Linked DNA regions of Oryzias latipes. The protein of the gene in region 1 purifies or fractionates together with the protein of each later gene. This does not show direct contact. Links are inferred from orthologs where the notes say so. Each region holds a gene or a part of one and is shown on either strand. Other genes may lie near its edges.

Region 1 (3,911 bases):
ACTTTATTTATATAGCTCTTTTCCTACAAAAGCACAACCGAACGTGCTTTGCACCAATACAAAATAAATAAATAATATAAAAACAAACACGAAAACTATATATACATTTAAAAAACGCCTCTCTCACCCTCCGCGGGTGGTTTCTCCTCCAAGCTCGGGTCCTCTACCAGAGGCCTGGGAGCTTGAGGGTCCTGCAGTATCTTAGCTGTTCCTAGCACTGCGCTTTTCTGGACTGAGAGGTCTGAGGTCTTTCCAGGGATCTGTTGTAGCCACTCCTCCAGCTTGGGGGTTACTGCCCCGAGTGCTCCAATTACCACAGGCACCACTGTCACATTCACTTTCCATGCTTTCTCCAGTTCTTCTCTGAGTCCCTGGTATTTCTCCAGTTTCTCATGTTCCTTCTTCCTGATGTTCCCATCGCTTGGCACTGCCACATCCACCACAACGGCTTTCCTCTGTTCTTTATCCACCACTACAATGTCTGGTTGGTTCGCCATTACCATCCTATCAGTCTGGATCTGGAAGTCCCACAGGATTTTTGCCCTCTCATTCTCTACCACCTTCGGAGGTGTTTCCCATTTTGACCTTGGGGTTTCCAGTCCATATTCTGCACACATGTTCCTGTATATTATTCCAGCTGCTTGATTGTGGTGCTCCATGTATGCTTTCCCTGCCAGCATCTTACACCCTGCAGTTATGTGCTGGATTGTTTCAGGCGCTTATTTGCACAGCCTACACCTTGGGTCTTGTCTGGTGTGGTAGATCTGAGCCTCTATTGCTCTGGTGCTCAGGGCTTGTTCCTGAGCTGCCAGGAGGAGCGCATCAGTGCTGTCCTGTAGGCCAGCCCTCTCTAGCCATTGGTAGGACTTCTTGATATCAGCCACTTCAGTTATGGTCCGGTGGTACGTCCCATGCAGGGGTTTGTCTTCCCATGAGGATCTGTCCTCCAGCACTGTATCCTCTGCTCTCCATTGCCTGAGACATTCACTGAGCACACTGTCGGCTGTCGACTGTTTCATCCTCTCTCTCTCTCTCTCTCTCTCTCTCTCTCTCTCTCTCTCTCTCTCTCTCTCTCTCTCTCTCTCTCTCTCTCTATATATATATAGTTATTTATTAAATTATCATAAAATGCTATTTTTTAAGCCCATGTTAAAAATATATAAATTTAATCTAAACATATATATTGCATTTGAATATTGAACAGGAGTAAAGACTTCATAATACTGGAAAAGGCAAGGTTTTTGTATGAGTGTGTGTGTGTGTGTGCGCGCGCGCGCTTTTCTTATGGAGACAATCCGCTACAAAACAAATTCCTTCACGCGACTTTTATTTTGAACAGCCCTGCGTCACTTCCGTTTGATGTCGCATTCCTCACAACATAAAGCAAGAGCCACCGCTAAAAGCTAACGCTACACCTTGAAGGGATTCCCTCCCCCTCCCGCACACAGTCAGGATAAACATGTCAGACACGGTAAGAAAAAGAACGTTGAAGAGTTCGAATGATTTTCTGTCAACACTTTACTAAGAAATCGATAATGTGTTTGTTATGGACGCTGCCTCGTACGTGATTATCTAACAACATGCTAACCGTTAGCTGTTCTAGCTGCAGGCCTCTGACTGAACTTAGCGATTTTTTTTTACCCTCCACGTGAGCTTTTGTGTAGTTTTTTGAGATTTTTTTTTGGGGGGGGGGTCAGAACTGGTGCTGGCGGGACCGAACCCACACTCGTGTCTATGGTGGATGTTCTCTGTGTTCGTGGAACCCGCGGAGTAAACAGACGGGCCTTCCTCGAAAGCGTGCTAGCGGTCGCATCATGTAGCAATGTTTTGTGATGTTTCTGTCAGGAGACGAAACCTTCCAATCAGGACGGAGGCGACAAGAAAGATGGAGAGTACATCAAACTAAAAGTGATCGGTCAGGTAGGTTGTTTTTGTGTCTCTGCTTTTGTTGTCACTACTGTCTGCATTTAGAAATAAACCGTATTCTACTCCATTTCAAATAAAGTTATGGCACGTGGTGGTGTCTCTATTATTGTTTATAGAAGGCTATTATTTTTGGTCAATGATTCTGCCAATTCTTTATCATTTACAGATGTATTCGTTTTAATGCTGGAAGTTGTTATTGTTTTTGAGCTGCATCACCTTTTTGTGTGTGTCCGTTTCTGCCCACAGGACAGCAGTGAAATCCACTTCAAGGTGAAAATGACCACACATCTAAAGAAGCTGAAAGAGTCTTACAGCCAGAGACAGGTATGAAGAGGAAGACGCATCGCCACTTTTCCAATGACAGCCTTCGCAGATCCATCCAAATGCAGTTCCTTATGGTAGAACACGCCATTATTTAAAAAAAAGATAACTCTGATCATCTTTTGATCTATTGCAAAAAATAAAAAGTTCCTAGTGATTTTTATTTATTTTTTTGACACGCTCTCCCGCTAGCTTACTAAGACTCCCAAGCTAATATTAGCAGTGCAACAAAAATGGCGAGCAATATCGGAGCTATCCAGCTGCACAGTTTGGATCCGGATGCTCGGACGAGGAAAATAAAAAAAAGTTACACGAGTCTATTTGTCTGCAAGGGAGCCTTGTGGCTTGCCGTAGTAGCTTTGGAATCATACCTGCAACCTTTTTCCAACTAAGTTTAATTTTGTCTGCTCCTGATTCACAACGATTTTAAATATAAAAAAAAAATAACCCAATTTTAAATGTAATTTTAAGCTTAATTTTCTTTAACCCTTGTGCTATCCTAGGCCCTTTAACATTAGGAGTTGGGTCATCTAGACCCACTAGACAGTGCGCTTAACCTTTCTTCTTCAATGATTTGTGATCTTCACTGGTGTCCATGGATTACATGAAATCTTTCCACTTTTGTCATGGTAGGGAGAACACGTCAATGTAAGGGTGGGGTCATCTAAGATAGCATAAGGGTTACACCTAAAAGCTCGTCTATGTAATCGTTACTCGTGCTCCTAGCGCCTCGCGGCGGCGTTCAAGGAGAGCTGATTGAAGGAAAAATAAAAATCTCCTAATGGTCTAACAGCAGAGGATGACGTTTCTTTCAGGGAGTCCTGGCGAGCACGCTACGGTTTCTTTTTGAGGGACAGAGAATCGCAGATAACCAAACCCCAAAAGAGGTAAGCGACACTCGCAAGAGCGAAAACCAAGCACTAGTGGTCACTAAGGTTTGTGTTTTCTTCTGTTTTTTTATAGCTGGGCATGGAGGATGAGGACGTCATCGAAGTTTATCAAGAACAGACCGGCGGACTTTGGAATCATTAAAGCCACAATTTCTGATGTTTTTTTTTCTTCTTTTTTTTCCCCTTTTATTCATGTTTTTTATCATTTGGTTTTGTATGTATGTATGTATTTCTGTTAAGTTTCAAACCATCTGAATCAAAAAAGCAAAAGGACTCAATCAGGGCTTCCATGTGTGCGGTCGGGGAGGCGGACAGACCGAGGACTCGAACCTGTGGCTCTGCCGTCGGAGGACACTCTAAGATTTTTACCGGCAACCATTTCGCTTTCGTGTTTTAAATTTTTATTTTATCAACCTTGCTGGAATGATGTGCTTTTGCAGGAAAATGGTTTTTAGGAGCTTCTTCCTCCCCAAAATGTTTTTTAAAATTGTCTCATAGAGGAAATATGTCAGATGGCATTCTGGGTAAGTGCGGTTACAGAAACCGTAAAAAGAAACCGATCAGAAGCATACCAGAGCGGCATGCTTCTGATCTTTCCATCTATTCAAAACAAAAAAAGTTGTTTTCCTGGAACGGACCAAAGCGTCTGTCCAAATGAAGGGGGGCGGGGCTAAACGAGGGAGCAGGTCCATTTCCTGTTGATCTATTCCACTCTCAGATGAGGTTGGGTCCTTCTTTTCTCCGGGTCGCCAAGTCGAGTGTTGGATCAATAAA
Region 2 (4,285 bases), on another chromosome or scaffold:
AAGAGAGGATAAACAGGAAACCACAGAACGTCTCTACAATCGCTTTTAATCGAAACAGGAAAAAAAACATGAGTGACAGTATTTTCTTGTCTGCTACGTGGGGAAGCATTTGGAGATTTGGCAAAAAAAATGAGCCCCGCTAAGCTCTTGAGGTTAAAACGGCACAGACGGACCCTTCCTGTGAGTTTGAATGTGGAAGTCGCTGAGCTCTACGTGTGTTTATCACTTCAAGCCCGTGTTCTGTGGTGGACTAGAAGCTGATTCAAGACAAAAGAAAAAATTTTGCTTTCATTCATTTTTCAACAAAAAATGCATATAAATTTACATCAAAGTCTGCTGACCTGTTAAGACTTCCCTTATTAAGTCAATAAAGTTCATTGTGTCTATAAGATTAACTGACTTATTGGGTTATGTCAGGTATGTGTAAAAACACAAACCGTGTCTGATAAAAAATAACCCAAGAAGTCAGTTACCTTATTAAGGATTTTCCTCCTAAGTAATAACCTGCAACATAACCACGGTTTGTGTATACTGTATATATGTCATGTTTGGCAGCTGTCTGTAGGTTATATCTGAATCCACCCCATCTTTAATTACATCCAGAGCTTCCGGCAGCTTCCAGCAAAACCTTATTGAGTCCCCAATCTCACTCTGCTGTCCAGCATCTTTGACTGATAATCCCTTGAATCGGAGGAGATAATGAAAAAGACTCCACACAGAGACCCTCCAAGTAATTCCCCTATAGCAATCTTCAGGTTGATGCATTTCCAGTCCACAGGCCTATTGCTTTGTACTCTCAAGCTTGCTGTTTCTGCAGCAGCTCTAAATGAGTCAAGGAAAAGTTTTTTTTTCTCTGTCGAATGATACCTTTTATTTTCATTTTTACAGAATTGTGTCTTTGAATTTTAGGAGCAGATTACAACACAAATAGAAAACATACTTTATAGTAACTTTCCATTTATTTTTGTAAGGCAAATGTTAACTTTGCATTGTTTGTGTTGATCCATCCATGTGTCTGACAAGGAATAGTGACAGACTACTCAAAACAAAAGATGTTTCCACTATAAAAGCACATAAATAGCATAAATAAGGTAAATTAAAAAAAATTGCAAAAGGCCTTAAAAGGTAGAATTTGTATAAAAAACATAAGATGTAAACAATTACACATTTTTTGTATGTTTAGATACAATTTAAAAATCTTGTATCAATTATTCCCTGGAACATACATACCTTAACCTATTTGCCCTAAAATTGCATTACTTTTAATAAGTCACGCGCCATGCAGGCAGCAAAAATGTGTGCAATTTTAAGCAGCAGGTGATTTTAGCTTGCAGCGCGCGCCCCCGTTGGTGGAAAATAAGGACACGTGATTGCGCGTTCCCGGGAGGCAGCAGGAGGAGTCAACGATCCTTCGCGAGGCAACATTGTCTTAGCAAGAAGCGCGTCTCCTGCGTGGCACATTTTCCTTAACCCTACGGAAAGTATACCGAATAGCCCGATTTGAGCCAAAGAGAGTTTGATTTATCCAACAAAGGATATCTGCCTCGAACTCTTATGCAACCCACTTGAGAGGCAACGGATTAACATTGAGGGATTGTGGTTCATTTTCTGACGCGCCCGGATACAGCTTCACACCGATAGAGAGGCTAAACTCAAGTCCTTTCGTCCTGACATGGACACAGGATTTGTACCCGAAAAGAAAAGGTAACGTCACAGTTTGCTAACGCCGCTACTCGTCTGCTTTTCGTTTTAAACATTTCTAAACATGTTTTTCTTTTGTTAGAACTTTAATATTCACTTACGTTTACTACTCTCTACGGTCCAAAATTTCTAGCTTACTGCCAGTTTGGTGTGTTTGTTGGACTTCATACGAATGTCATCGCTGCTAGTAGTGTCGTTAGCAAAAATGCTAACATAGCTAGCTGTCGGAAATGGTGTTATATTGAAAGGTCGGCGTCAACCTGTCTATTTACACTAAATCTTTATATTGAAATAATTTAATGTGCTGGAATTTTTAAAATGTAGTTTATTTACGTCATTAAAACCGTTCTCTGCGTTTCCCTCCATCATCATGTGCTTTTTGTTCGGAAACTTCTTTAGATCCCAGCAGATGTGGTCGATTTTCTAAATCTTAATAATTAATAATACTTCGATTAATATTTGCAGTTTTTATACATCTAGTTACATTTGAGTAGATCAGTGGATTTATGTGGTTTAATAGTATTGACTGGTCAGTGAACACCTGCTGCTCACGTGTGACTTGTGGCCTGAAGTTCCTCCTTGTCTGCTTAAGTTTTAGTCGTTTTGAATTTGAGACTAAAGATTCATTTTAAAACTCTTGTTTTAGCCTTTTGTTTTGCTGAAAGTTGCTTTTTAAAAACCCATTTTAGAAAAAATTTGTTTCACCAAATGCCTTTGGTATTATATTATTATTGCTTTCCAAAAAATAATTAGATTTAGAGTAACACTCAACCATAATAATAATAGCAACAATAGTAATAATGATGTAAGATATAAAGGTTGTACAAGTGTCGTGCAACAGAGAAACTTTAAAGTTTCAGTTAATTTCGTTACTTTTAAGGTTAGGCAGCCATGTTTATTATTTGAAAGTTGTAGTTTTTTTACACAAAATTAACAATCATTCTATAATAAAATGTACAATTCAGTGAATAGAAATTATTGATAAAAACAACTCATTTGTAAACTGAACTACCAGTTTATCAAAGCTGATGCAATGAAGGGTAATCACATTTTACTAAATTGAATGATGTCTGGATTTTAATACATTGACAAAGTAGGATATTTATGATAAAATAATTGTGTTCTTTACTCTATTACAATTGATCTGACATTTTGGTTTAAAATATTAATCAAAATATTTGTTGACATTTTTTATAGACATAATACATATTAATTTTTAGATTTTACATATTATTTTATAACTTTTGTAATGTAAGTTTCTCATCTTAAAACAGCCATGTAACTTTGAACATTTAGTATACAGTATTTTGCATGAAGCAGAAATGTAATAAAGAAATGTATGTTCAACAGGAAAAAGTAAAAAGAAAAAGGTTTCCTCCCAGCAAGACATATTTTCTGACTTCCCCCCCCCCATAACTTTAATTCCCTGATGTACCACTTAATAACAAAAAATTTTTACCTACAAAAGCTCATAATGATTATGATTCAGCTGCTGGTGAAAAATATGAACATAGTGAATAGTAGTAAAAATTTGTGATGAAAAAACCCTTATAGTTCAGAAAGAAAACTTTATTTTTTTACACTGGTCAAGCACAAAGAGTGGCTAAAAGTTGAAAACTAAGTACATATCCTACTGCATCTGTCTGCCTAAACAGCTAAATGTGTGGTGGTTTTAGAGCTTTGTTTAGATCTAGATAATGGGGTCATCATTTAAACTGGAAATAAACACGTGTTCAGTCTTGGCCATTGTGGCAGTTTATTCTGATTTAGTTCTTTCAGACCTCCGTAAATTGTTTTGCTATAATTTCTGTCTCATCTCTTAATCACAGGGTCTTGACGTCAATGGGAGTGGCTAAAAGTGTGTAGGAATTCACTGAGTGGCGATGGGTGCTTCCTGTGAGGCATTCAAGGAGCAGACTAGTTAGAACTAGAAACAGATTACCTGGATTATATAGAAGGACATGTTTCTGTTTTTTGCCAAAAATATAACTTTATGGCTGTTTCCTGAATTGAATTAAATTAAAGTTGAAATTAGGATTTTTGTATAATTACCTACTGTGACTATGTTGGGGGTTTTAACCACTGGGAAGTGCAGACTTAGAGGTCAGAGATGGATGTTATGTCATAACAGAAATCTTAAGTGAGAGGAACTCTTGTGAGCTGTTTAACTTTTTGATCCCTCATAAATATGCCAAAAGGCTAACGAAGATTGTTTCTTTGTCTTTTGAGTTGTTTTTTTTGTTTTTTTTGGTGTTAAAGCTGCAAAGATCAACGGGTTATGGGCCCAGAAGCAACTAAAAAGAAATCTTAGAAAAAAAAATATGATTGATGATTTTATTATACATGAAAATTTGTGGCGATTATCATGCTAACGTCGGGATAAATTCACAAGAATGCTCCATCACTTATATTTGATGTTAATAAAAGCAAGTTTGAGCAATGTCAAAACTTGCTTTTTGACCCAATAGTGAAGCTAAAGAGCAGCAGGCGCTCAGAAAAATGCAGATGAGAGATGCAGCTGTTAATCAAAGAAAAGCACTGAGAAATCTGAGGAATTATTGCTGCAGAAAGGTATTTTTAGCCT
Region 3 (4,396 bases), on another chromosome or scaffold:
CAAACTTTCATTTGACATGTCAAAAAAAAAAAAAAACTCAAACTGGTTCAGCAGGAAAAGGAGAATGCAAATAATCCACTTTTGTCTCAGCTGGTTGACGTTGACTTTGACTTTAAAACTCTACTGCCCCTTAGTGGTAAATAGGAGCCAAAGCCTGCAGTTGAAAAACAGCTGGCAAGAACTGGAGTTAAAAAAAAGTGATATGTATTTGTCTTAAAAGGCCAAGGGACGATAACAAAATACTAATACTACTGCTACTAATAATAAAGGATTTTAAAAGGAAAAAGAGTTGATTATGTTTTCAAATCTCTGCCTGGGTGATTGCATAAATAAACTGATGATTAATTGTTTTAATGAAAATATATCTTTAAAAAAAAGACATAATATATATATATATATATATATATATATATATATATATATATATATATATATATATATATATATATATATATATATATATATATATATATATATATATATATATAATTTTTTTTCTGTGATTTTTTTAAACAAAAGGTCTTGACCAAAATAGTTGATACTTTTTATCACGTCATTTTTATTTCTACACACTCTACGTCTTAATTGTAACAACTGACCTCTACAAATTAAAAGTTCATTTTCAGAGTCAAACAGACTTTGACAGTTTAATTTTCAACAGGCACATTCAACAGGCTGTAAAAAGCCAATATAATGCATCACTGGGATATATATCTCAATCAATATTTAGCATACGATGTAAACATTATTGCAGAATATTAATATTTATAATTATTTATAATTATTATTATTATTATTATTATTATTTATAATTAGACGGCTCATGTTGCCTGTGTTAGCGACAAAGTCAGAGAAGCCAGACTGAGATGGTTTGGACATATTCAGAGGAGGGATAGTGGATATATTGGTAGAAGGATGTTGGAGATGGAGCTGCCTGGCAGGAGGGCAAGAGGACGGCCAAAGAGGAGATATATGGATGTCTTAACAGAGGACATGAAGTTGGCTAATGTTAGGGTAGAAGATGTCCATGATAGAGTGAGGTGGAAAAGGATGATTCGCTGTGGCGACCCCTGATGGGAAAAGCCGAATGAGAAAGAAGAAGATTAATATTTTAGTCTAAAGAAAATTATAGCCAGCCTATTGTATTTTCTATTTCTTTTGATTCACAACTATTTGGATAGAGAAATACTTGATACACTTTAAGCCTAATTTTCTTTACATATGTCCTCCATCATCAGATAAATGCTTGAAAAACATGTTAAAAACACAAAAAACGCGATTTCGATCGGAGTGGGTCTCTAAAGGTGTTTATGGGACAGAAATCACCTGCTCAGTGAGCAGGTAAAGCGTCTGAAACCCCGTCGCACCTCGCAGCCAATCAAAGCTAACGCGACATTGACAGCCTTTTGATGCATTGTGGGACTTGTAGTTAGGTCGTATGCCACAGCGCGTTAGCGGGGCTGTTATCACAGCTGGAATAGACTACAGAGGTTCGTGTCCCGGGCAGAGGCGGCTTGCGTTGACAGTTGGTTGGTCCTCGAAGAAGCGCAGCGGCTCCAACATCGCCCCGCAGTTTTGTTTTGTTTTACTTGTTTGTGGGTTTTTTTTACGTTCTGGAAAAGTTGACGTCTGCAAGTATGCAGTCCGAATCCGGAATAGTTCCTGACTTTGAGGTCGGCGAGGACCTTCAGGACGAGCCTAAAACGTACTATGAGCTGAAGAGTCAACCTTTGAAAAACAGGTCAGTCCATTTCCCGTGGACAGTTATTTCCCACTCTGAAGCGGTTTTCAGGTTTGGGTGATAATTAGCCTCCGAGCTGTCTACTGAGCGTCGCGCGGAGGCCGAGCGCGCGCGAGGCTGTCCCGGCGGGGGGGGGGGATGTGTTGCCCAGCTGTGGAGTGGGATTCGGCTGCCTCTCATTCAAAGTTATGCAACACTTGGGTGTTGTCTTGTCAACATCAACTTCAAATATTGGCTCGTGGAGGAGCAGACAGGTCAGAGTTGAGTGAGATGCTGCTCACGCCAGGGACTCCTAACACAATTGATGCTACTTTATTTTTTATATTTCTGTCAAGAATGACTCCAAATGGACCTCAAACAATGTTAGTCAAACCCATTTATTTCATTATTATTTTAGTAAAATATCGATGCTTCATGAGATTTCCCCTTCAAAATAAAAGCACATTCAGAGGCTGCTGGAGGGGTGTAAAAGGTGACCAGTTGTCATAATAGTTGTCCAACCCGATGACCCTGATGTCTAATGTTGCAAGAGTAATTTTGGGGACTATCCGAACTGTGTACAAGTTGCTGAGTCAGCTTTAAGTGGCCCAAATCTGCCTTTCCGCCTTTTTTCAGGAACTTCTGCAGAGCCAGCATGCAATATAGGTTATTTTATTAGATCAGCTGTTAGGATGGAACACTCTAAGAATAGGAGTCAATTATGAATCTGATATATAAAATTGTGTAATTAGATTGAACAAACCATTGTTTCCTATTCGTGGCAAGCCTAAAGTGTAATTTTTAGGAAAGATGATGACTTGGAGTGACGGATTCGTGGATTCGTCAGATATGTGCTAAAGATGGATGAGCAGCGGCATCCTCACTTTTGATGCAACAACATGACTTCTCTCTGGGTGACATGTGAGCAAAACGAAACACCTCAGACTCTTCCTTCAACTTAGGAGCTGCAAAGCTGCTAATGATGACATGCGTCAACAAACTGCGATCCCATTCTCTCCGTCTCCTGTCGTCACCTTAGAGTTTGATTCCCTCAAGGCTGTCCTTGCTGCTGCCAGATCTAGACAGCCACAAGACAGAGCGCCACTGTTCTCAAACAAAGCAGTTTTTTTTCCTGTTGCCCTCCCTCCCTTCTGTTTCTCCGTATTTTGCTGTGGAGTTGCAGCTTTTCTCCTCTTTATTTCTTTCTTTAAGTCGACCAAAAACATAAGCTAAGAGAAAATCGCATAAATCTCATGAAACTATAACCTTTAGCCCAGTTTTTCCTTTTCTTTTTCCAAGTAATGTCAATTTCGTCATTAGTGAAATGTCATTACATTGTTACACGTACATAGACCAAGTCGGAGATGCCGCAAGAGTAAATATAACCCCTGAAATATCAACACAGTTGGCTAGTATGACAGAACATAGTTGAGAACATGTGGGATTTTTCTAAGCCTTTTGCTTTTATTGTTTTTTTTTTTTTAAATGTCCCACTTCCCCTTTCCATCACATGAGCATGATCTATCATAACAATGACTGTGTTGGGAGCCGTTATGACACTAAAGATTGATTATTTGGCGTTGCCCAAAAGTCAGGTAAGAGCTGCTTCGTCCCAGCTGCTTCGGAAGGAGAAATGTTGACAGTGACACAGTATCACCTCCGTTTCACGGATAGGTTTGCTTCCCTGCTGTCCCCAATCAGGCCGACAGAGCGAGCTGCTGCAGACGCTGTCCTGGACTTTCAGTGCCTATATTTAGATGTGAGGCAGACGCTGAACTAGTCTTATATGCAGTGTAAATAAGCTGTATAAATTTAGCCGTAGAAGTGTTAAATCTGAAATAAGTGGGGTTTTTTTGTGTGTGTATGTGCGTTCTCAAGCAAACTCTCGAAGCTAAACTTTTACATTGTTAAGCCCGTTTACATCCATTTAATATATTGGATTTCTTGAATTATGCGATTTTTCAAGTGACCGTGCAAACAGGAGAGTCTGATATCCTTTATCTGATAGTACCGAGATAAAATCGCATTAAGATTTCTAAGATTCCGTATTCCTCTCCACAAGCTAATGCAACCACCAGTTTGCCTAAAACAGGCTGACAGTAGGGCTTGAAAGTGACAGGATTGCATATTCTCATCCTCCAATCATCTTTTGAGTTATTTTACAAGCATTCCCAACAAGCCCTTGTTTAAATATGATTATACCATAGTCCGAGTGAATACTCGATTCTGATTGGCCATTCATCAAAAATTCTGAGTTGTGGGCAAGGCTGTTGGGACAGTAAAACCCGCCCCTTTCCCCCATCTTCATCGCTAAGACCTCAGAGCAGGGAGCTTGTGGCCCACCAAGCTTATTCTCTTCATCACAAATACATTGTTTTTCAAAAGGCATTTTGTTTGTTTGCTCTTGATTCACAACAATTTCAATGAAGACATTCCTCATAAATGCAATTTTAAGCTAAATTTACTAAATAAATGTCTTCCATCATCAGAAAAATGCCACAAGAACACGTTAAAAACACATTTCATTTTCATTGGAGTGGGTCTTTACAATGCATTGCAGCTAGTGCTGTGGAGTCCATTTACATGCCCACAAAAAAATCCGGTCATATCTGATATTAGACTATTCAAAGGGTCATGTTAGCAGCACCATCTGATTTTTCTTGTCAGATAAGCAGC

Evidence for each region.
Region 2: the proteins of sumo1 (region 1) and hif1a purify together in Homo sapiens (co-immunoprecipitation; 3 studies listed by BioGRID and IntAct, with this or other methods). This does not show direct contact. The link is inferred for Oryzias latipes from reciprocal best matches to the Homo sapiens genes SUMO1 and HIF1A.
Region 3: the proteins of sumo1 (region 1) and microphthalmia-associated transcription factor purify together in Homo sapiens (affinity purification with western blotting; 3 studies listed by BioGRID and IntAct, with this or other methods). This does not show direct contact. The link is inferred for Oryzias latipes from reciprocal best matches to the Homo sapiens genes SUMO1 and MITF.

The regions. Positions count from the first base shown.
Region 1 is NC_019860.2:9,899,641-9,903,551, reverse strand, and holds sumo1 (small ubiquitin-related modifier 1), read left to right. Parts: upstream 1-1,438; 5' UTR 1,439-1,459; coding exon 1,460-1,471; intron 1,472-1,845; coding exon 1,846-1,920; intron 1,921-2,172; coding exon 2,173-2,250; intron 2,251-3,062; coding exon 3,063-3,134; intron 3,135-3,210; coding exon 3,211-3,279; 3' UTR 3,280-3,300; downstream 3,301-3,911. UniProt on the Homo sapiens protein: Ubiquitin-like protein that can be covalently attached to proteins as a monomer or a lysine-linked polymer.
Region 2 is NC_019880.2:11,968,750-11,973,034, reverse strand, and holds the start of hif1a (hypoxia-inducible factor 1-alpha), read left to right. Parts: upstream 1-1,388; 5' UTR 1,389-1,672; coding exon 1,673-1,704; intron 1,705-4,285.
Region 3 is NC_019865.2:20,303,917-20,308,312, reverse strand, and holds the start of microphthalmia-associated transcription factor, read left to right. Parts: upstream 1-1,484; 5' UTR 1,485-1,637; coding exon 1,638-1,741; intron 1,742-4,396. UniProt on the Homo sapiens protein: Transcription factor that acts as a master regulator of melanocyte survival and differentiation as well as melanosome biogenesis.